Linked DNA regions of Callithrix jacchus. The protein of the gene in region 1 purifies or fractionates together with the protein of each later gene. This does not show direct contact. Links are inferred from orthologs where the notes say so. Each region holds a gene or a part of one and is shown on either strand. Other genes may lie near its edges. The genes, in order: POLR3K, POLR3B and PDRG1.

Region 1 (4,306 bases):
TGGACAGAGTCTCTTGGGGAACAAGAGAATACACTCATATGAGGATCCACCCCAGGGGGTGGGTAGGGGCCTGACTGTCAGTTCACCCTGAGTATCTCTGATCATCAGCACCCAGGCCAGGGCCTGGGACTGGGACTGGGGTAAAGCAGGTGTGGGAAATTTACCAGGGTAGCAAAAAACGGTATTAACTATAAATATTTTAACACAACATTTAAGAAGCACAAGGCCAATTAAAAAATCCATGAGCAAAATATCAAACATTTAGAATTGGCCGGGCGCGGTGGCTCATGCCTGTCACCTCAGCACTTTGGGAGGCCGAGGTGGGCAGAGCACGAGACTGAAACCATTCTGGGCAGCATGTTAGATCGTGCTACTGCACTCCAGCCTGGCTCTGTCTCAAAAAAAAAAACCCACTCAAACAAAGTATCGTGCCAAAGCATGTTGGTGCTTGAGGCAAATGGAACAATCAGTGCTACGAATCTTGCTCTTGTTTAAAACTAGATTTTTTTCTTTACTGTAGGCTTTTTTTTTTTTTTCATCAACTTTTACTTTTAAAACTATTACAGACTGGGCGGGTGGCTCACACCTATAATCCCAGCACTTTGGGAGGCAGAGGCAGGAGGATCGCCAGAGCCCAGGAGTTCGATACCAGCCTGGGCAACATAGTGAGACCCCCCCCTCTCTACAAAAAATTTAAAAATTAGCTGGGCGTGGTGTCCCGCACCTGTGGTCCCAATTACTCGGGAGGCTGAGGTGGGAGGATGGCTTGAGCTCAGGAGGTCCAGGCTACAGTAAGCCGAGATCGCGCCACTGCACTCCAGCTTGGGTGACAGAGCATGACCCTGTCCCCCAGACCCCCTCTAAATACAATTACATTAAAAGGTCATTTATTGTCACTCACTAGTGAGGTTTCTGGTGCCTCTTTAAATTTCGCGCCCCAGGCGAGTGCGCCCTACCCAGGTTAAGACCCTCGTTTACACCCAGAGGCGCCTTCTCCCATCAGCACCTTCAGAGGCTGCACGTACCCGAACGCCCCGGCTCCCGGCCCCCGGGGGAACGACCCCAGCCCCCCAGCCTCCGCCCGCACACACCTGGATCGGCAGATCGCAGAGCAGCGGGTCCTGCACCACCATGGCCAGACCCTCCTGGAACACGTCCACGGCCTCGGAGTGAGGCAGCGTCTCCTCTTCGTCCTCATCGTCCTCTTGCGCCTCGGGCCGACTCGCGGCCTCGACCTGCTCCAGGACTGCGCGTCTCAGTAGGGCCCCGCCCGCACTGCCAAGCCGCACTACGGAGGCCAAGTACGCAGGCGCAGGAACGGGGGCCCGCCCCAGCGAGGCCGCCCAGCCATTGGTGCATCGAGGGGAGGGGCAGTTGCAGTGACCAATGACAAGTACGAGATAGCCTGCTGGGCGCGCAGAATCGCCCTGTCTATTGGTTGGCTGGGCGGGGCGGGGCGGCTGCCGGCACCGACGTGAGCTCGAGGCGGGCGGTGTGTCGGCGCTGAGGGACGGCGGGAGCTGCTGGGAGCCGGGCCCTGTGGAGTCGGAGACGATGCTGCTGTTCTGCCCCGGCTGCGGGAACGGGCTGATCGTGGAGGAGGGACAGCGCTGCCACCGCTTCGCCTGCAATACGTGCCCCTACGTGCACAACATCACCCGCAAGGTGGGACTCGAAGGCGGGCGTCTCTCGCAGGACTTCCGCTTCCTCCGACTGCAGCGCCTTCGCCGCCAGCCCCGGCGTGTCTGTGCCTCTGCCCTTTCCTTCTCTCGTTTTTTTTTTTTTTTTTTTTTTTTTTTTAAAGTGAGACATCCTCTCGCTCTGTTGCCCAGGCTGGAATGCAATGGCGCGGTCTCGGCTCACCGCAACCTCCTCCTCCAAGGTTCAAGCGATTCTCCTGCTTCAGCCTGCCGAGTAGCTGGGATTACAGGCGCCCGCAACCACGCCCGGCTAATTTTTTTTTTTTTTTTTTTTTTTTTTTTTTTTTTTGAGACGGAGTTTCGCTCTTGTTACCCAGGCTGGAGTGCAGTGGCGTGACCTCGGCTCACCGCAACCTCTGCCTCCTGGGTTCAGGCAATTCTCCTGCCTCAGCTTCCTGAGTAGCTGGGATTACAGGCACGCGCCACCATGCCCAGCTAATTTTTTGTATTTTTAGTAGAGACGGGGTTTCACCATGTTGACCAGGATGGTCTCGATCTCTTGACCTCGTGATCCACACGCCTCGGACTCCCAAAGTGCTGGGATTACAGGCTTGAGCCACCGCGCCCGGCCTGGCTAATTTTTTTTTTTTTTTTTTTTTTTTGTATTTTTAGTAGAGACGGGGTTTCACCGTGTTGGCCAGGCTGATCTCAAACTCCTGACCTCGTGATCCGCCCGCCTCTACCTCCTAAGGTGTTGGGATTACGGGAGTCAGCCATTGCGCCCGGCTGTCCGCTCTTTCTCGCGCCCCCTTCCAGTCGGCAGCGGATCCCGTGGGCTCTGCTTTCCTGTACACCCGGCTAGGCCGCCGTTTCCCGCCTCCCTGGGTTCCTGCTCTCACGCTTGCGCCCCTTACTGCGTTCGCAGCAGCGGCCACGGCGATTCCGTAAGGGCCGAGTCACACAGGTCCGTGTTGTGCGCAGAAACTTTCGACCTTTCCCAGCTCACGCAGGGGAAAAGCCGGAGTCCTCCAGGACCTACCAGGTTCCGACACTGAGCCGCTGCCCGGCGCTCCTCCTGTTGCCCTTTGCCCCATCAACACCAGCCTCCTGGAGGACTGGCACTTAAGGTTGCTTGGTTCACTCTTCCCCTAGAGCCGGCTTACTCACTGGTCTGGTCTTGTCTTCAACGTTGACTGTATTTTAAGTTGCAGCCCTTCCTTCTCAGTTATCCTCCTTCCCTTTTTTTTTTTTTTTTTTTTTTTTTTGAGACGGAGTTTCGCTCTTGTTACCCAGGCTGGAGTGCAATGGCGCGATCTCGGCTCACCGCAACCTCCGCCTCCTGGGTTCAGGCAATTCTCCTGCCTCAGCCTCCTGAGTAGCTGGGATTACAGGCACGCGCCACCGTGCCCAGCTAATTTTTTTGTATTTTTAATAGAGACGGGGTTTCACCGTGTTGACCAGGATGGTCTCGATCTCTTGACCTCGTGATCCACCCGCCTCGGCCTCCCAAAGTGCTGGGATTACAGGCGTGAGCCACCGCGCCCGGCCCCTCCTTCCCTTTTTAATTGTTTCCATAGGGCTTATTACCTCCTAATATATTATGTAATGTATTGTGTGCTTTGTTTATTAATAGTAGGACCTAAGGTCTAGGCGGGCAGGGTTTTTCTCTGTTCCTTTCCATGTTCTATTCTGAACAACTAAAAGGAAACCTATGACATAGTAGCTGTTCAGTAAGCAGATGATGCACTGTATTATAACTTATTACTTTTCCTTAATAATACAGATTTGCTTTTTAGAATACCTTTACTTTTGTTTTTTTTTTTTTTTTTTTTGAGACACCGTTTTGCTCTTGTTGCCCAGGCTGGAGTACAGTGGCGTGATCTCGGCTCACTGCAACTTCCATCTCCGTGGTTCAAGTGATTCTCCTGCCTCAGCTTTCCAAGTAGCTGGGAGTACAGGCGTGCGCCACCACCGGCTATTTTTTGTATTTTTAATAAAGACAGGGTTTCACCATGTTGGCCAGGATGATCTTGAACTCCCAGCCTCAGGCGATCTTGCCTTGGCATCCCAAAGTGCTGGGATTACAGCTGTGAACTGTCTTTTTTTCTTTTTTTGAGATGGAGTCTTGCTCTGTTGTCCAGGCTGGAGAGCAGTGGTGTGATCTTGGCTCACTGCAACCTCCATCTCCCAGGTTCAAGCATTTCTTACGTCTCAGCTTCCCGAGTAGCTCAGCTACTTCATCCTCCTGAGGCATCTGCCACCACGCCCTGCTAAATTCTGCACTTTTAGTAGAGATGGGGTTTCACCATGCTGGCCAGGCTGATCTTGAACTCCTGACGTCAGGCGATCTGCTTGCCTTGGCATCCCAAATTCTAGGATTATAGGTGTGAGCCACCATGCCCGGCCAGAATACCTTTACTTTTCAGAAGTTAGAACGTCGTGGTGTGACCTCAGTCTTAATGTTTGCATACTACTCCGTTTTGTACTGTGTTGTGGGAGTGTAGAGTCTGAAACTGTGGGAAGAGTGAATTCTTATGCAGTCCTGAAATTTGAGGTTTGGAGGCCCAAGTTTGCACCATTTGGCTACTTTGAGTCTGAAGGCTTGTTTTTGTCAGGTAACGAATCGGAAGTACCCGAAACTGAAAGAAGTGGATGATGTGCTTGGT
Region 2 (3,588 bases), on another chromosome or scaffold:
TAAGTTTTTGTCACCAACGTTTTTTGATTTTGTATAGCTGTGTTGCTAGTTTTGGTATTATAAGGTAAAATCCCTGACTGAAAGGTGCAGGTTTGCGGAGTGGTAGTCTAATTTTAGAGAGAAGTAGTAAAACATGCATAGCAGCATGACAGATGATTAAAAGCCAAAGTACTATTGGCAAAAGAGTGATGGTCAGAGAGGCCCACCCAAATGAAGTGAGACATAAATCACATCTTAAGAGAAGATGGTTTAAGCTGAAAGCTGAGTGCAGAGAGCATGTCTCAATCAAGGTGTTCAAGAGGAGTCTCCACAGGGTCTGCAGGAAATAGCGACCAGTCAGGGGAGCTGCTGAATATGAAGTGATGTGGTGTCGGGCTTCAGTTCAGTTTCCAAGAGCTTACGCTAAGAAGTAGTGAGTACCACAGTGAGAGACCACTTGGCACCCTCTAGGATAACTATAATCTGAATCAAATGTTAATGAGGATGTGGAGGAACGGGAACCATCATGCTCCACTGATGGGAAGGTAAAGTGTTATAGCCACTTTGGAAACAGGCTGGCAGTTTCTCAAATGGTTAAACAAAAAGTTACCGTATCCTCCAGCAATTCCATTCCTAGATATCTGCCCAAGAGAAAAACATGTGTCCATGCAGAAACCTGTACACAAATGCTCATAGCAGCATTATTCATAAAATGGACATCAGCTGCTGGATGGATACACAAAATGGGATGTATCTGTACAATGGAGTATTATTTGGCAATAAAAAGAAATCAAGTACCTTACATGCTGCAACATGGATGAATCTTGAAACCATTGTGCTAAATGAAAGAATGGAGACTTGAAATATGAGGCCAGGCGCAGTGGCTCACGCCTGTAATACCAGCACTTTGGGAGGCCGAGGTGGATGGATCACGAGGTCAGGAGATTGAGACCAACCTGGCTAACATAGTGAAACCCCATCCCTACTAAAATACAAAAAAATTAGCTGGGCATGGTGACGGGTGCCTGTAATCCCAGCTACTTGGGAAGCTGAGGCAGGAGAATCGCTTGAACCCGGAAGGCGGAAGTTGCAGTGAGCGAAGATTGTGCCACTGCACTCCAGCCTGGGCAATAGCACGAGAGTGCGAGACTCCATCTCAAAAAAAAAAAATGAGTAGAGTTTGTCCAGTTCAGTTGGGTGCTGTGGATAGAGGGGAGAGTGCTGGGAAATGAGGCTGGGAAAGTTGTCAGGGCCAGATTTCTTGTCAGATTTGAAAGCCATGCTAAGGATTTGGCTTTTCTTCTAAAAGCCATACAAAGCTATTGAGTTTTTAAGTAGGGGAGTGATCAAGAATCAAATAAAATGGTAGTAAGATCAAGAAATATTATTTTCTTTACCCCTAGAAGACTGAGTCTTGCTACATTGCTCAGGCTGGATTTCAACCCTTGGGTTTGAGTGATCCTCCTGCCTCTGCCTCCTGAGTAGCTGTGACCGTAGGAATATGACACCTTGCCTGGCCTTTTTATTTTTTAAAAGGAGCTGTACATAAATGGAGAAGAAGGTGCTAGGCCCAGTGGCTCACGCTTGTAATCCCAGCACTTGGGGAGGCCAAGGCAGGCAATAATTTGAGGTTGGGAATTTGAGACTGACTAGCCTGGCCAATATGGTGAAACCCCGTTTCTACTAAAAATACAAAAATTAGCTGGACATGGCGGCAGGCACCTGTAATCCCAGCCATTCAGAAGGCTGAGGCACGTGAACTGCTTGATCCTGGGAGGCTGACGTTGTAGTGAGCTGAGATTGCGCCACTGTACTCCAGCCTGGGCAATAGAGGGAGACTCTGTCTCTATTTTTTTGTTGTTGTTAAAACCTAAGATACAAATACACACATTAGCCCAGGCCAGAATCATCAGTATCACTGTCCTCCATCTCCATGCCTTGTCCCACTGGAGGGTCTTCATGGACAATAATACATGGAGCGATCATCTTCTATGATAGCAGTGGCTGCTTCTGCAATACTACCTGAAGGACCTGCTGGAGGCGCTTCTTGAGGAAAGGGTCACTCTTTTCACAGATATACTCTATGAAATCAAATCAAGTCGTAAGTCATTAGGTGATAGGAATTTTTCAGCTCCATTATAATCTTATGGGACTGCTGTCATATATGTGGTTCATAGTAGAACGAAATGTTGTTATGTGGCACATGGCCATATATTCGTGTACTCATATTTTGATTTCCAAGAGTCAGATTTCTTCTCAAGGAGGAAAACTCTTGAGAATATACTAGTAAGATGATGTGGAAACGGAATTAGAACACATTAATGAAAAGATTTATTAAATTCGTGGATTTTTTCCTCACTTTTTGAGAAAAATTTGATGTTCACCCATGATTAGATTCCATTACATGATCTATTATTTTGTTGCTAACCTATCTTTACTTTCTGTTTAGGTGAAAGGCCTTGTGAAACAGCATATAGATTCATTTAACTATTTTATTAATGTAGAGGTAAGCATCAGACATTAGACATAAACTAAGGATTAATTGGAAGCGGGAGTCTTTCCTAATGTTGCATTTTCCACTGCAGATAAAGAAGATAATGAAAGCCAATGAAAAGGTTACAAGTGACGCTGACCCTATGTGGTACTTAAAGTAAGGAACCAACTATTCTTAATTTGCTATTTGGGTTATGTCTAACATTTTTAAAAGTGAGTGAAGTGGCTATCAAAATTCTTTAAAAATCATTGTCTTGGTCGTGCGTAGTGGCTCACGCCTACAATCCTAGCACTTTGGGAGGCCAAGGTGGGCAGATCACCTGGGGTCGGGAGTTCAAGAGCAGCTTGGCCAACATGGTGAAAACCTGTTTCTACTAAAAATTTAAAAATTCCCCAGTCATGGTGATGCACATCTGTAATCCCAGCTACTCGGGAGGCTAAGACAGGACAATCGCTTGAGCCCAGGAGGCGGAGGTTGCAGTCCCTGGAGGCGGAGGTTGCAGTGAGCTGAGATTGTGCCTCTACACTCCAGCCTGGACGACAGAGTGAGACTCCAGCTCAAAAAAATAAAATAAAATAAAATAAGATAAAATAAAATCATTGTCTCCTATTATAAAGTGCTCAAATTACATTTTTAATTGTCAAATTATAACGAGTTATGAATGGGAAGTTTTTGAAACTATTAAGTTTTAAATATTTAAATTTTTATTTTGAAATAATTTTAAGCTTAAAAGAAAAATTGCAAAAATAGTACAAGGAGTTCTTCAGTATCCTTTGCCAAGCTTTCACTGATATTAACATCTTACATAATCATAGCACAATAATAAAACCAGGAAGTTAGCACTGATACGATGTTGTCTACTAATCTGTAGATCTCATTTGATGTTTTCTCACAAATAATCTTTTTCTGGTGTAGGAATCAATCCAGAGCTCCATGTTATGTTTAGTTGTCTTGTATCCTTAGTCTCCTCAATTTTTGAAGTCCCCCAGTCTTTCTTGGTCTTTCATGACTTTGATACTTTTGAACAATCTACTCAATATTTGTAGAAGTTCCTTGAATTTGAGTTTGTATGACATTTGATCATTATTAGATTGGGTTGTACATTTTTGGCAAGA
Region 3 (4,119 bases), on another chromosome or scaffold:
ACAAAGGCTGCTTTGACAAGTAAGGCAAGGGGTGTGAAGGGGCTTGGTTACAAGCGGTTGAAAGGAGAGAATAAAAAGCTGGAATCGGGGAGGCAAGAGATCAGAGTGCTAATATCAGTCCTGCTCTTCAGACTTGTCATCGTCCTTTCCCAGCGCCTTTTACAGCCCTCCTTCCCCTCTGACCTTCTGCCTGCTTCCCCCACCCATTCTGTTCCACACACACTGGATGTTCCCTCTGCCTGGAACACTCTTCTCCTAGACATCCACATGGCTCACTCCTCACCTTCTTTTCAAAGTTCTTGCCTCTCTCTGAGGCTTCTTTTTTCCAGCTATGCAATGAGGAGTTTGGGCGTGAAGACCTCGTGGGAACCCTCTGGTTCTGATGGTAACCATTTTCCATCTGCCTGCCTCCTCTGGGAAGGCCTCCCAATCCTACGACCCAAACCCATTTGCTTTTATGAGCTAGCATTTCATTGCTTACTGCCCATAGTTTTCAAGAGCGCAGTGGTGCCATCATAGCTCACTGCAGCCTCCACTCCCCAGGCTCAGGTGCTCCTCCCACCTCAGCTTCCTGAATAGCTGGGACCAACAGGCATGCCCCACCGAGCCCAGCTAATATATATATATATTTTTTAGTATAAACGGTATTTTACCGTGTTACCCAAGCTGGTCTCTGACTCCTGGGCTCAAGGGAACCCTGCCTTGGCCTTCCAAAGTGCTGGGATTACAGGTGTGAGCCACTGCGCCCAGCCAATTCCTGCTTCCTTCCTATCCTGTGAAGAGACACTGAAGGGGATTTTCATTCACCCTCTTTTTATAAGTTAGAAACTGAAAGTGTCAGAGATGAAACATTAATCACACTGCCACATGGGCCTTCTTGGTGTTTCTTAGACAGGGGAAGAATGATATTTCCCAGGCCATAATCACGACGTGCCATTCTATATAACTGTTTTGCCATTAATTGTCGGTGTTTACCACTAGGATGAAGTTCCATGAGGGCAGAGATTTTGTGGTGTTCACTGCTGCATCCCAAGTCCCTAAAACTGCTTGGCTCATAGTAAGTGCTCAAGAAATATGAACCGAGGGAGGAAGGGGTCAGTGGCTGCCCGCGGACTGAGCTCTCTGAGCCTGCAGAGGGCGCTCCAGCCCCGCCCCCTAAAGCTAGACCCCGCCTCTCACGGCCGCTGACGCACGTGCGTTAGAGCCTGCGCGCCACAGTTCTTTTAAATGCGCAGGCGCTCCGGAAGTCCCGTGAGAGCGGCGCATGTACAGCGGAAGCCGCAGTGGCTACCCAGTGGAGTGAGAGAAGGGTCGCGCGAGAGTCGTAGGTGGAGTTGGTGGGCGCTATGCTGTCACCCGAGGCTGAGCGAGTACTGCGGTACTTGGTAGAGGTGGAGGAGCTCGCTGAAGAGGTGCTGGCGGACAAGCGGCAGGTGAGAGGCCCGTCTGCGGCGCTGGGGCCAGGAGGCTAGCGCCGTCGGAAAGCGCACGGGGTTGCGGGGAGTTGACCCGGACGGGCGGTTAACTGTCCCGAGGCAAGAGATGTGGGCCGATAAATATTCGGCCGCTACTAAGTGAGCGCCTGCGCAGTGCTGGGTATTCCTCTTCCTTCATCCTTTCTCTGCCTCTTACCGTGCTCTCCGGATCTCGACCATCACTCTCTGGGCCGTTTCTCTGAGCACCTCTTTCAAAATGCACTTCCCGGCCCCCTGAGGCCCTTAGGGGAAAGGAGGAGCCGAAAAGAGGCCTGGGGGAGCCTTGTGACCGGCCAGGGATGGGGACGTCGGTTAAGGTGGTGCCCTGTTTATGGGGTGCCTTGTGGGGGGTCAGGCTCTAATGTAAGTGCCAAGTTTTTGAAGGGAGTTCCTGGAGGAAGGAGGGTGACGTAATTGGATTTACGTTTTAAATGGATCCCTCTGGTTGCCGTGTGGAATACACAATATAGGCGCACAAGGGTGGGGGCAGGGAGATGGGTGAAGGGTCATTGCTATGGTCCAGACCAGAGTTGGATTTGGACTAGGTAGTGGTGGTGGAGAGAAGTGAATGGGTCAGAAATGTATTTTGGAGACAGACTCAGTAGGCCGTGATAGTGGCTGTGTAAAGGGGTTAGGGAGCCGGGGGAGTCATGACTCCCTCTCATCTCCAGTTAGAAAGCTCAGGTATTTACTGAGAAGGGGAAAACTTGGGCAAGGGCCTGTCAAATTAAATGCTGGATCCGGGCGTGCTGGATGAGACTAATGAGAGCAGTTAACGATTATCAGCTACTTAGTATGTGCCAGGTACTGTATTAAGTCACTTAATTGCTAGCTCATTAACCTGTGAGGTAGGTACTGTTCGTAGCTCCATTTTGCCAAGGAGTAAATAGGAAGATGACATTACACAGCTTGAAGCAGACAGCAGGATTCGAACCTGGGTATTCCAGCTCCAGAACCAGCACTCTCGTGCAGCATACTGTACTACTGCCTCACTTCCTTAGTAACTATTGTGGTGTTACCACTGTCTCAGTGCCCCCACTTCTGCTGTTCCCATCTAGTATTGTTGGGTTTCTCATAGTACTAGGTCAGAACCAGCTGGAGAAGTTTGTCCAAAAATAGACATCAGGTCTGCTTAATCAGTGTGTAGGGGAAGGGTTTCCACTCCCCTGGTGATTCTCATATGCCCTGAAGTTTGAGGCAATAGTACAGAGTTTCCCATTTAGTCAGCACATGGTTTCCTAGCATCTTCTCTGGGGAGAAGGCAACTGCACAAAGCATTGTCTTTAAGGACCAGGAAGCCAAGTGAGAGAAGAAATACATTCACGCATCAATCCATTTTAGGCAGGACATTGGAAATAACTCAGGAATAATGCATTGTCTCTGCAGCCCTTGTCTGTCAAGAGGGGACAGCTTGGGGCAAGAGATAACAGAGTTCCCTCCTGTCTCCGTGGTTTTCAGATCGTGGACCTGGACACTAAAAGGAATCAGAATCGAGAGGGGCTAAGGGCCCTGCAGAAGGATCTCAACCCCTCTGGTAAGTTGAAATTTTCTCAGTGCAGCCCTGGAGGCCTGTTCTGTTTTCCTTTAAGGCCTTTACCTTGTCTGTGATAGAGATCAGGCAGGAGGCCACAGCTGTGTAACAGCCTTGTGGGAAATTGAAACAGTCTGTGAAGATTGGGGAGCAAATGTTGCAGTTCTGGCACAGACTGTGGTTCAGGATTTCGGCTGCTCAGTGACAGGTCATTGGCTCCTGGCTCTTGGACAATGGCAGACGCTGAGGGTATAAAAAAGTGATGGTTCCTGCCCTTGTGCTTTACAGATGAGGAGAACAATGTAAAATGCATTATTGAAAATTGTATGAAAGCCAAAGATGGAATTGGACTTGGGGTGGGTATTGAGAATATACATCCAGAAGAATCGGATATTTAGATGAGGCCAAGTGGCTACGACAGAGGAAGCAAATGGGGAGGGTAAGTATGGCTGGAGAGAGAGACAGAGGCCAGGCCACAATGAAAGGCCTTAGGGGCTGAGGGGGGAAGTTTACATTTTGTTGAAAGTGCACTGGAATATGCAGAGCCTTCCAGTTGCTTCTCATCTCATCTGAGTAAAATCCAGAGGTTCTACAAGACTTGAGTAATCCAGCCCCCATGAGTCCATGAGGATTCCAGTATCATTTCTACTCTCCCCTTCATTTATGACTTCACCCACATGGGTCTCTTTGGTTTCTTTTAATTTTTATTTATTTATTTTTAATTTTGATGACAGAGTCTTGCTCTCTCACCCAGGCTGGAGTGTAGTGGCATGACCCTGGCTCACTGCAACCTTTGTTTCCCGGGTTCAAGTGATTCTCCTGCCTCAGCCTCCTGAGTAGCTGGGATTACAGGCGTGTGCCACCACACCCAGCTAGTTTTTGTATTTTTAATAGATACAGGGTTTTGCCATGTTGGCCAGGCCAGTCTTGAACGCCTGTCCTCAAGTGATCACCTGCCTTGGCCTCCCAAAGTGCTGGATTACAGGCGTGAGCCACTGTTCCCCCCTTGCTGTTTCGAACACCCTAAGTACACTACTGATCTTTGCTGTTCGTGTTTCCTTTGTTTGGCTCACTCTTTCCCCATATGTCTGCAGGGCTCACATTCTCACTTTC

The links.
Region 2: the proteins of POLR3K (region 1) and POLR3B purify together in Homo sapiens (affinity purification with mass spectrometry; 6 studies listed by BioGRID and IntAct, with this or other methods). This does not show direct contact. The link is inferred for Callithrix jacchus from reciprocal best matches to the Homo sapiens genes POLR3K and POLR3B.
Region 3: the proteins of POLR3K (region 1) and PDRG1 purify together in Homo sapiens (affinity purification with mass spectrometry; 3 studies listed by BioGRID and IntAct, with this or other methods). This does not show direct contact. The link is inferred for Callithrix jacchus from reciprocal best matches to the Homo sapiens genes POLR3K and PDRG1.

What each region holds. Positions count from the first base shown.
Region 1 is NC_133513.1:2,334,425-2,338,730, reverse strand, and holds the start of POLR3K (DNA-directed RNA polymerase III subunit RPC10), read left to right. Parts: upstream 1-1,458; 5' UTR 1,459-1,554; coding exon 1,555-1,665; intron 1,666-4,255; coding exon 4,256-4,306. Other genes in the region: SNRNP25 (U11/U12 small nuclear ribonucleoprotein 25 kDa protein), read right to left, coding at 1,092-1,133. UniProt on the Homo sapiens protein: Core component of RNA polymerase III (Pol III) which synthesizes small non-coding RNAs using the four ribonucleoside triphosphates as substrates. Can mediate Pol I proofreading of the nascent RNA transcript.
Region 2 is NC_133510.1:109,232,640-109,236,227, forward strand, and holds part of POLR3B (DNA-directed RNA polymerase III subunit RPC2), read left to right. Parts: intron 1-2,428; coding exon 2,429-2,485; intron 2,486-2,564; coding exon 2,565-2,629; intron 2,630-3,588. UniProt on the Homo sapiens protein: Catalytic core component of RNA polymerase III (Pol III), a DNA-dependent RNA polymerase which synthesizes small non-coding RNAs using the four ribonucleoside triphosphates as substrates.
Region 3 is NC_133506.1:7,247,581-7,251,699, forward strand, and holds the start of PDRG1 (p53 and DNA damage-regulated protein 1), read left to right. Parts: upstream 1-1,251; 5' UTR 1,252-1,346; coding exon 1,347-1,433; intron 1,434-2,933; coding exon 2,934-3,009; intron 3,010-4,119. UniProt on the Homo sapiens protein: May play a role in chaperone-mediated protein folding.